Canis lupus familiaris: one gene and its partner. The protein of the gene in region 1 purifies or fractionates together with the protein of each later gene. This does not show direct contact. Links are inferred from orthologs where the notes say so. Each region holds a gene or a part of one and is shown on either strand. Other genes may lie near its edges.

Evidence for each region. The genes of interacting proteins can lie anywhere in the genome.
Region 2: the proteins of RAB3GAP2 (region 1) and VAPB purify together in Homo sapiens (affinity purification with mass spectrometry; 4 studies listed by BioGRID and IntAct, counting the BioPlex papers as one, with this or other methods). This does not show direct contact. The link is inferred for Canis lupus familiaris from reciprocal best matches to the Homo sapiens genes RAB3GAP2 and VAPB.

Annotation. Positions count from the first base shown.
Region 1 is NC_049259.1:15,626,069-15,629,713, reverse strand, and holds part of RAB3GAP2 (rab3 GTPase-activating protein non-catalytic subunit), read left to right. Parts: intron 1-496; coding exon 497-602; intron 603-2,072; coding exon 2,073-2,233; intron 2,234-3,355; coding exon 3,356-3,584; intron 3,585-3,645. UniProt on the Homo sapiens protein: Regulatory subunit of the Rab3 GTPase-activating (Rab3GAP) complex composed of RAB3GAP1 and RAB3GAP2, which has GTPase-activating protein (GAP) activity towards various Rab3 subfamily members (RAB3A, RAB3B, RAB3C and RAB3D), RAB5A and RAB43, and guanine nucleotide exchange factor (GEF) activity towards RAB18.
Region 2 is NC_049245.1:43,929,804-43,933,548, reverse strand, and holds the start of VAPB (vesicle-associated membrane protein-associated protein B/C), read right to left. Parts: upstream 2,448-3,745; 5' UTR 2,391-2,447; coding exon 2,285-2,390; intron 793-2,284; exon of another isoform or gene 778-792; coding exon of another isoform or gene 702-777; intron 1-701. UniProt on the Homo sapiens protein: Endoplasmic reticulum (ER)-anchored protein that mediates the formation of contact sites between the ER and endosomes via interaction with FFAT motif-containing proteins such as STARD3 or WDR44.

The DNA.
Region 1 (3,645 bases):
TGACTTCGGTGTTTTTGCTTAAAATCTGTTTCTCATGACTTATTAGTGAGTTAAAAACTAGAATCTGATAGTTTACATATCTGTTCACCATTGCCAAGTCCACAGCACCTTGTGGCCAATGTCGAATAAGGTCCACAGCTCCAGATCCTTCCTTTCCTCCAATCAGCCGAGTGGCTTCTTGCCAATCTACAGCTAATTTAGGCTAACTTGGTAGTAATCTTTCTGGCAATATGCTCCCTAATCAAAGCTTAACCTAGAAGGCAGTACTTATCCCAAAGAAGAAATGGAAATGGTGGAATTTACATATCTGACAGATGATAAAGAATCTCTTAAGTAGACAGAGTACCTTGTTCTACCCCTCATGTTATGTGACGTAATAAGCAGCCCCTTATTTTTCACCCTGAAGGACGAAATCACTCATAAACACATGTGTTCTCTTGAAAATTACAACATTTTGTTTTTCTTATTACTGAGAATGACTTAAATTTAATTTCAGTCTCTGCTCCTGAGTGTTTGGCTTTCTAAGGAAAAGGATATTTTGGATAAACCACAATCTGTGTGCTGTCTTCATACAATGCTGTCCCTCCTAAGCAAGATGAAAGGTAACATGCTGGTGGATGTTGCAGTTCCGTGGGCCCTGAGATGCAGGCTGCTGCTCTTAGAGATGTAGATTATTATATGAAAAACCACATAAATGGGAGGGGAGGATACTTTCTGTTAGTAAAAGGAGTGTACACTACAGTGTCCAGAACATTTTTCTAGGGATCTTTTTAAAAATATTTAAAAATATTTCTATTAATATTTCTATTAATAAGTAGAAAGCTCTCAATGCATTCAAAGTATGCTTTATAAAAATTAAATTCATATTTCATCATCAAAAATAATGTGATACAGGCAGCCTGGGTGGCTTAGTGATTTAGCGCCGCCTTCAGCCCAGGGTGTGATCCTGGAGACCCGGGATCAAGTCCCATGTTGGGCTCCCTGTATGGAGCCTGCTTCTCCCTCTGCCTGTGTCTCTGCCTTTCTCTCTCTCTTTTTCTGTCTCTCATGAATAAATAAAATCTTTAAAAAAATGTGATATGAACAATGCATTATTATTTTTTATTTTTTTTAAAGATGTATTTATTCATGAGAGATGCAGAGAGAGAGAGAGAGAGAGAGGCAGAGGGAGAAGCAGGCTCCATGCAAGGAGCCTGACATGGGACTCGATTCCGGGTCTCCAGGATCAATCACATCCTGGACTGAAGGTGGCGCTAAACCGCTGAGCCACGGGGGCTGCCCTTTATTTATTTTTTTAGTAAGATTTTATTTATTTATTCATGAGAGAGACACAGAGAGAAAGAGTCAGAGACACAGGCAGAGAGAGAAGCAGGCTCCATGCAGGGAGCCCAATGCGGGACTTGATCCTGGGTCTCCAGGATCAGGCCCTGGGGTGAAGGCGGTGCTAAACCGCTGAGCCACCCGGGCTGCCTGAACAATGCATTTTTAATTCATTGAGGTAAATCATACGATCTTTGGTAGAGGTAATTTTTAAGATTCTTTTTGACCTCATTAGAATAATCTTTTATATTATATATAATATATATAGTCTGTTTTATTAGAACATTATTTAACATTTTATTAAAACATTCAATAGTAGTTTTCAGCAATGATGAAAATATTCCAGAGATTTAAAGTTGATTCAGAAGCAAGACAACACAACCTAAATAAATGGAATATAAATATTCTGATAAAAGAAGTTGTGGAAGGTGCTTGGGTGACTCGGTTAAGCGTCTGTCTGCCTTCTGCTCAGGTCATGATCCTGGAGTCGTAGGATCAAGCCCCATGTCAGGCTCCATGCTCAGCAGGGAGCCTGCTTCTCCCTCTCCCTCTGCCTCTTGTGCTTATGCTCTCTCTCTCTCTCTCTCTGTCAAATAAATAAAATCTTTTAAAAAGTTGTGAATTTCTTTTCTAATTCAGAAATATACAAGTATATCACTGAGATATTTAGTTTCAGTGTATGTTTAATGTTAAAGATTGAACAGAAAGAATTGACAAGTTGAGTTTCTTTAACTTTCTCTTTTTGCCTTTAGTGGCCATCGACGAGACCTGGGATTCCCAGTCTGTGTCCCCTTGGTGGCAGCAGATGCGCACAGCTTGTATTCAGTCTGAGAACAATGGCGCTGCCCTGTTGTCTGCACACGTTGGGCATTCCGTTGCCGCACAGATCTCAAACAGTATGACTGAGAAAAAAGTAAGTGAGAAAGGGGCGTACTTGTCCTTGGATAAGCTGGATTTGTACCTGCCCAGCCTGCTGAGGGGCTGCTTTGCCTTGCCTGGGGCTGCAGTGTCTTTGGTGTTATGGAACATCTCGAGTTTGAAATATGTGTCCAGCAGGTTCTCATTTGTCTTTTGCGGAGTGAGGAGTGCAGCCCTTAACTTGTTTATTCAGATGACATGCATATTTGAACTTTTCCATTACCTCGTACTTTTCATCTCGAGGGGAAAAGTACTGTAGTTGGAGGGCAGAGATGTGACTCTGCCAATGGCAGGTGATTTGTGGTAAGTCCCTTAAACATGAGCTTCCTGCTTCAGGTTCCTCATCTAAAGGAGGTCAGGGTTCCTCATCTGAAGGAGGCAGGTTAGACTGCATTATTTCTGAGGTACTCTGAAGTTCTGTATAGTTGTATTTATAGCCCTCCCCTTTTATAAACAAAAGTTGTTTTGGGCAAGTAGCGTTGAAGGATTCAAATAAAAGTTTCCTTTTGACCTTTTGCTTTGTGGTTTTCCCTCATCTCTTGAAGACTCAAATTTATTAAAAAAACAAACAAACAAAACAGACATCTCTTGTATCTCATGGTAGATCAAATAATTTTTTTCTAGAGGGATGTTGCATTTAATCAGATGAGTCACTGAAATAGGCCTGTAGAGATTCACTTAACATTGTGAATCTCAGTAGTATGTATGCTAAATTTAATATTACTGGCATAAGATGTTTATGATAATGGAGAGAAAAGAAATTTGAGGCACATTTTGTATATCGGTGGGTGCGTTCTCAAAAGTACACTACCAGCACTATCCCGGTACTGACAGAAAAAAACGTGGCCCTTGTCAAGGATGGCTCTGCACACTTGTCGAAGTACACACTGGGTGAATCAGGCGTTGCTGCAGGTCTTTCTGTAAATGTCCAGACTCTGTCACTGTTGCCCCCAAGTCAGTCATGTTCCATCCAGCTACGTAGTAATATTCGGGAATCTGCATCTGTGTGCTGCTGTGATGTATCCTTACTGTCCGTCAGCTTTCAAGTTAAAAGCTCATTTAAGTGAATGCTGATCCGGAATCTTTGCCAGAGTATCACCAGTACATTTTGTGTTAGTTTTCCCAGACAGTTTTGGGTGCTGATTCTGAGGCCCTCACTGATTCCTGGGAGGCCCTTTCTCTTGACACTGAGTATTGGAAGCTTCTGCTGAAACAGCTGGAGGATTGTCTCATACTTCAGACCCTACTTCACAGCAAAGCAAACACATCAACCTGCAAAGTGTCGTCGCTGCAGGCTGAGCCACTCCCAAGGCTTTCTGTCAAAAAGTTATTAGAAGGAGGAAAGGGTAAGCTGATGTTTATTTATTTGAGCATTGTGCCTATGTATCTGTATGTTATGGTGTGGGC
Region 2 (3,745 bases), on another chromosome or scaffold:
AAGCTTGTACTATTTCACCAGGACAAATGTCACAGTGTCATGCTTCTTTCAGGAGGCCAACAGTTCTTCTTTTGATACTTAACACAGTGCTGCCTGGCACTGTCAAGAAGTCTGAACAAAGTCACATAAGTCTGCATTCTCTTTTCCTCAAAAACATCCTTAACCTCAACAGAATCACACAAAATGCCCAAAATGAAAAAGAATCCAACATATATAATCCCTTATCATCTTAGGCTGCATTTAAAAGATGCTTCTTTTTCTCCTTTAAAAGAAAATTAACTTTTTTCCTTTGGATAAGGTTGTATTATTTTAGGCATTTTAATTATTTCCTTCTTATTAAGTCAGCCTACAGGTTTGGTTCATCTAAGTGAACCACCTAAAGTTAGTCACCACTCTGCATAACTTGGAACAGATCAGTTAAATGTGGCAGTTCTCACCCTGAAATGAATGAACTCTACGCAGCAAGCCAGAGTACTGAGTCTCTAATTTGTTTTAGTGCTCAGTTTAAAACAAATAAACCAATCTCATAAAGTGGTTTACACACGCCTGCAGATGCCTCTTCTGAAGTTGCGAGCCAACAGCCTTCAACAATCTGATACCATGACTTCTCTTGGACCACTTCCCTAGCAAAAATATCCAGTGACTTTGACCATTATTACTTTGGGCAACCCAGGGCCAAAGGTCACTGTTCTCTGCCTTACCTTTCAGGTAAAGAAGTTGAAATGATGAAATCAGTTGTCTAAATACAACCAGCCATCTCTGTATAATATTGTGCATTTATAAAGCTGAACAGCCACAGTATCACCACTAAGCAACAACAGAACTTTCTCTAAGAAGCAAGGTAGGGCAGCCCAGGTGGCTCAGTGGTTTAGCACCGCCTTCGGTCCAGGGCCGTGATCCTGGTGATCCTGGAGTCCTGGGATCGAGTCCCACGTCCCACGTCGAGCTCCCTGCATGGAGCCTGCTTCTCCCTCTGCCTGTGTCTCTGCCTCTCTGTTCCCCCAATAATAAATAAAATCTTTAAAAGAAAAAAAGAAGCAAGTAGATGTGAGTTCCATCCCCATGGACTGACAAATGACCTAACTTTGAGGGGTGAACTTGCCAGCCAAAGATCAAACATCTTTACGTAAAAAAACCAAAACTTTTTCTCAAAAATCAGAACCTCTTTCAAAAACCTAACAGATGAGTGTATGTACTGGGAGACAGGTAGGGGGATGGGAATCAATCAAGGAAGAACTAGCTAAGGAGAAGCGACACAATTTGAACTTGGATACTGGTTGTGTCCAGGCACAGGAGACCTTGGACGTTACTCCTGTCTAACTAGTCTCATCCCCTACCTTGCCTTGCTACCCCAACAAATGTTCTTTGCTGCTGCCAAAGGGGTCCAGTCATCTCAGGCTTTTTGCCTCTACACATGGGATTTCCTCTGCCTGACGCGCTCCCGCCCCCCCCCCCCCCCCCCATTCTTTCAGTCTCTTCCATTTGACCTTTAAACTCAGCTCAAATGACACCTTTTCCAGGATCTGACCTCCTTACTGCTCTTGGAGTACTCTGATTACCTTCCATCATTGCACCTGTCCTGGATGGGTCTGTCATCTGCCTCCTTCCCTAGACTTAAGGCCTGGGGTGGGGGGATTGAGGGCGAAAGTGATTCTTCTTCCCTGGTACCTGACATGTGCAGCAGCCACTCAGTAAATGTGAACTGAACGAATGAATGTGCCAATACTCAGGAGTAGCAGAATCCTGCTTCTAGAGTAGAGAACTTCAGACGATTCGAGCGGAAACTATTGCGCTCCCTGTTCCCGAGTCTGGCTGCTCTAGAAGAAGGCCATGAGAACGTCACCCAGGACAAAGTACTGCCACCAGAATCACAACCAATGTTAGGTTTGTGGGGTTTATATTTTCGTTTTAACTGGAAAATCTTTTGGTTCATTATACCATTTGGAGTCATTTCAGATTGTTATTCTGGGAGGCAAAGTGACAGCCACAGCTCTAGAGTATTTCCCAGGGGTCAGACGGCAGAACAGTTAAGAGCGTGAGCTCTGAAGTCTGAGTTCAAACGTGCCATGTGCCAACCGGGTAACTCTGGGTAAGCTCCCCTGTCCTACCTCCTGCCAGTGCATATAGATGAGGGTGCCTCTGGCCAGCATCCGTTCCACAGATGCCTACCGAGCACCTGCTGCCGGCCAAGCGCTGGCGGCCCCTGGTGACCTGGCCACCCGACCTGAAGCATAGGCTCATCAGGTCACCTGCTGTTATTTTGTATGTCCTTCACGGAACTTACCACAATCTGAAGTACTCTTCTTTTGCTGATTTGTCTCCCCTCCCGCCCCCACCACGAGGAGGTAAGCTCGAAGCTGGGGAGGGGAACGGGAGGGTCGCTTGTTCATTCCTTGCCTCTCTGATGCCAACCAGACACCTAGCAGACGGTGACTCAACACGTTGTAAAAGGAAAGACTAGGCAGCGCGGGTGGCTCAGTGGCTTAGCGCTGCCTTCAGACCCGGGATCGGGTCCCGCGTCGGGCTCCCCGCATGGAGCCTGCTTCTCCCTCGGCCTGTGTCTCTCATGAGTCAATAAACAAAATCTTAATTAAAAAAAAAAAAAAAAAAAAAAAAGGAGACTGGGCAAGTCTGACGTGGTGCCCACGGCCCGTGACGCCTGTACTTCGTCGTCGGGGGAAAAAGCAGGGCAGATAAACCCCAAGAAGTGCGAAGCGGCACTTCCCAGAGGGCCCAGCTGCTGGGGGGCCGGGGAGCTCCGCGCCCTGCGGGGACCCCGCCGCCGCCCCCGCCCCCCGCGCAGACGGGGCCGTGGGCGCCGGGACGCCAGCTGCAGGCCCCGGGCCGCGTCCCACCACCTGCGCGGGGCGCTTCGTCCCCCTGCCGGTGTGTGCCCGGCGCCCGGCAGGGAGCGGCGCGTCCTGCCCTCATGGAGCTTCCCGTCCAGCCGGGAGCGCAGCACACAAGTGCGTAAAACCTCCCCCGAGGTGGCGGCGGCGCGGCGGGCGCCAAGCGGAGGTGAGGCAGGGCAGACGGCGGGTGCCCGCCGCGGGGGGCCCGGAGGCGGCGGCCCCGGGGGCGGGAGGGCGGCGCGCGCTCGGCAGGGACGGGGACCGCGCCCCGCGCCTCCGGGGCCGGGCGGCTCGGGGGGAGGCGGGCGGGCGGGGCGGGGGCCGGGGCCGCCGGGGGGGCGCGGGGCGCGGGGCGCGGGGCGGGCGCGCCGTCGGGCGGGGCGGGGCGGGGACCGCGGGCCGGGCGGGCACTCACGTCACCACCGCGCCGCCGGTGCCTGCGAGCGCGGGCGGGGGCGCGGGGCGGCCGGGCCGGGCCCGCGGCCGAACATGGCGGGCGTCCCGCTTACCTCGGAATTTGAGCTCGTGCTGCGGCTCGAGGCTCAGGACCTGCTCCACCTTCGCCATGTTCCTCAGCGGCGGGGCAGCTCTGCCGGGGGGACCCCCTGAGAGGTCACCTGGGGCGGGAGGCGTTAATGCTGCGCCCCCTTTAAATTCGGAAAGGGGGGGCCGGCCGGGACGCGGGCGGGGGTCGTCTGCGGGGCGCGCGCGGGGGGGGGCGGCCTACGCGGTGCAGGCGCAGGGGCGGAGGGCGAGGGCGAGGCCGCGGTGCCCGGCGAACGCACGGCACGCACGCACGCACGCAGCGACGCACGCACGCACGCACGCAGGCGGGCCGGCCGGCTGGCCCTGCGCGCGCTCGGGCGGCGGGAAGCTGCGCGCGCGGAGCCCCT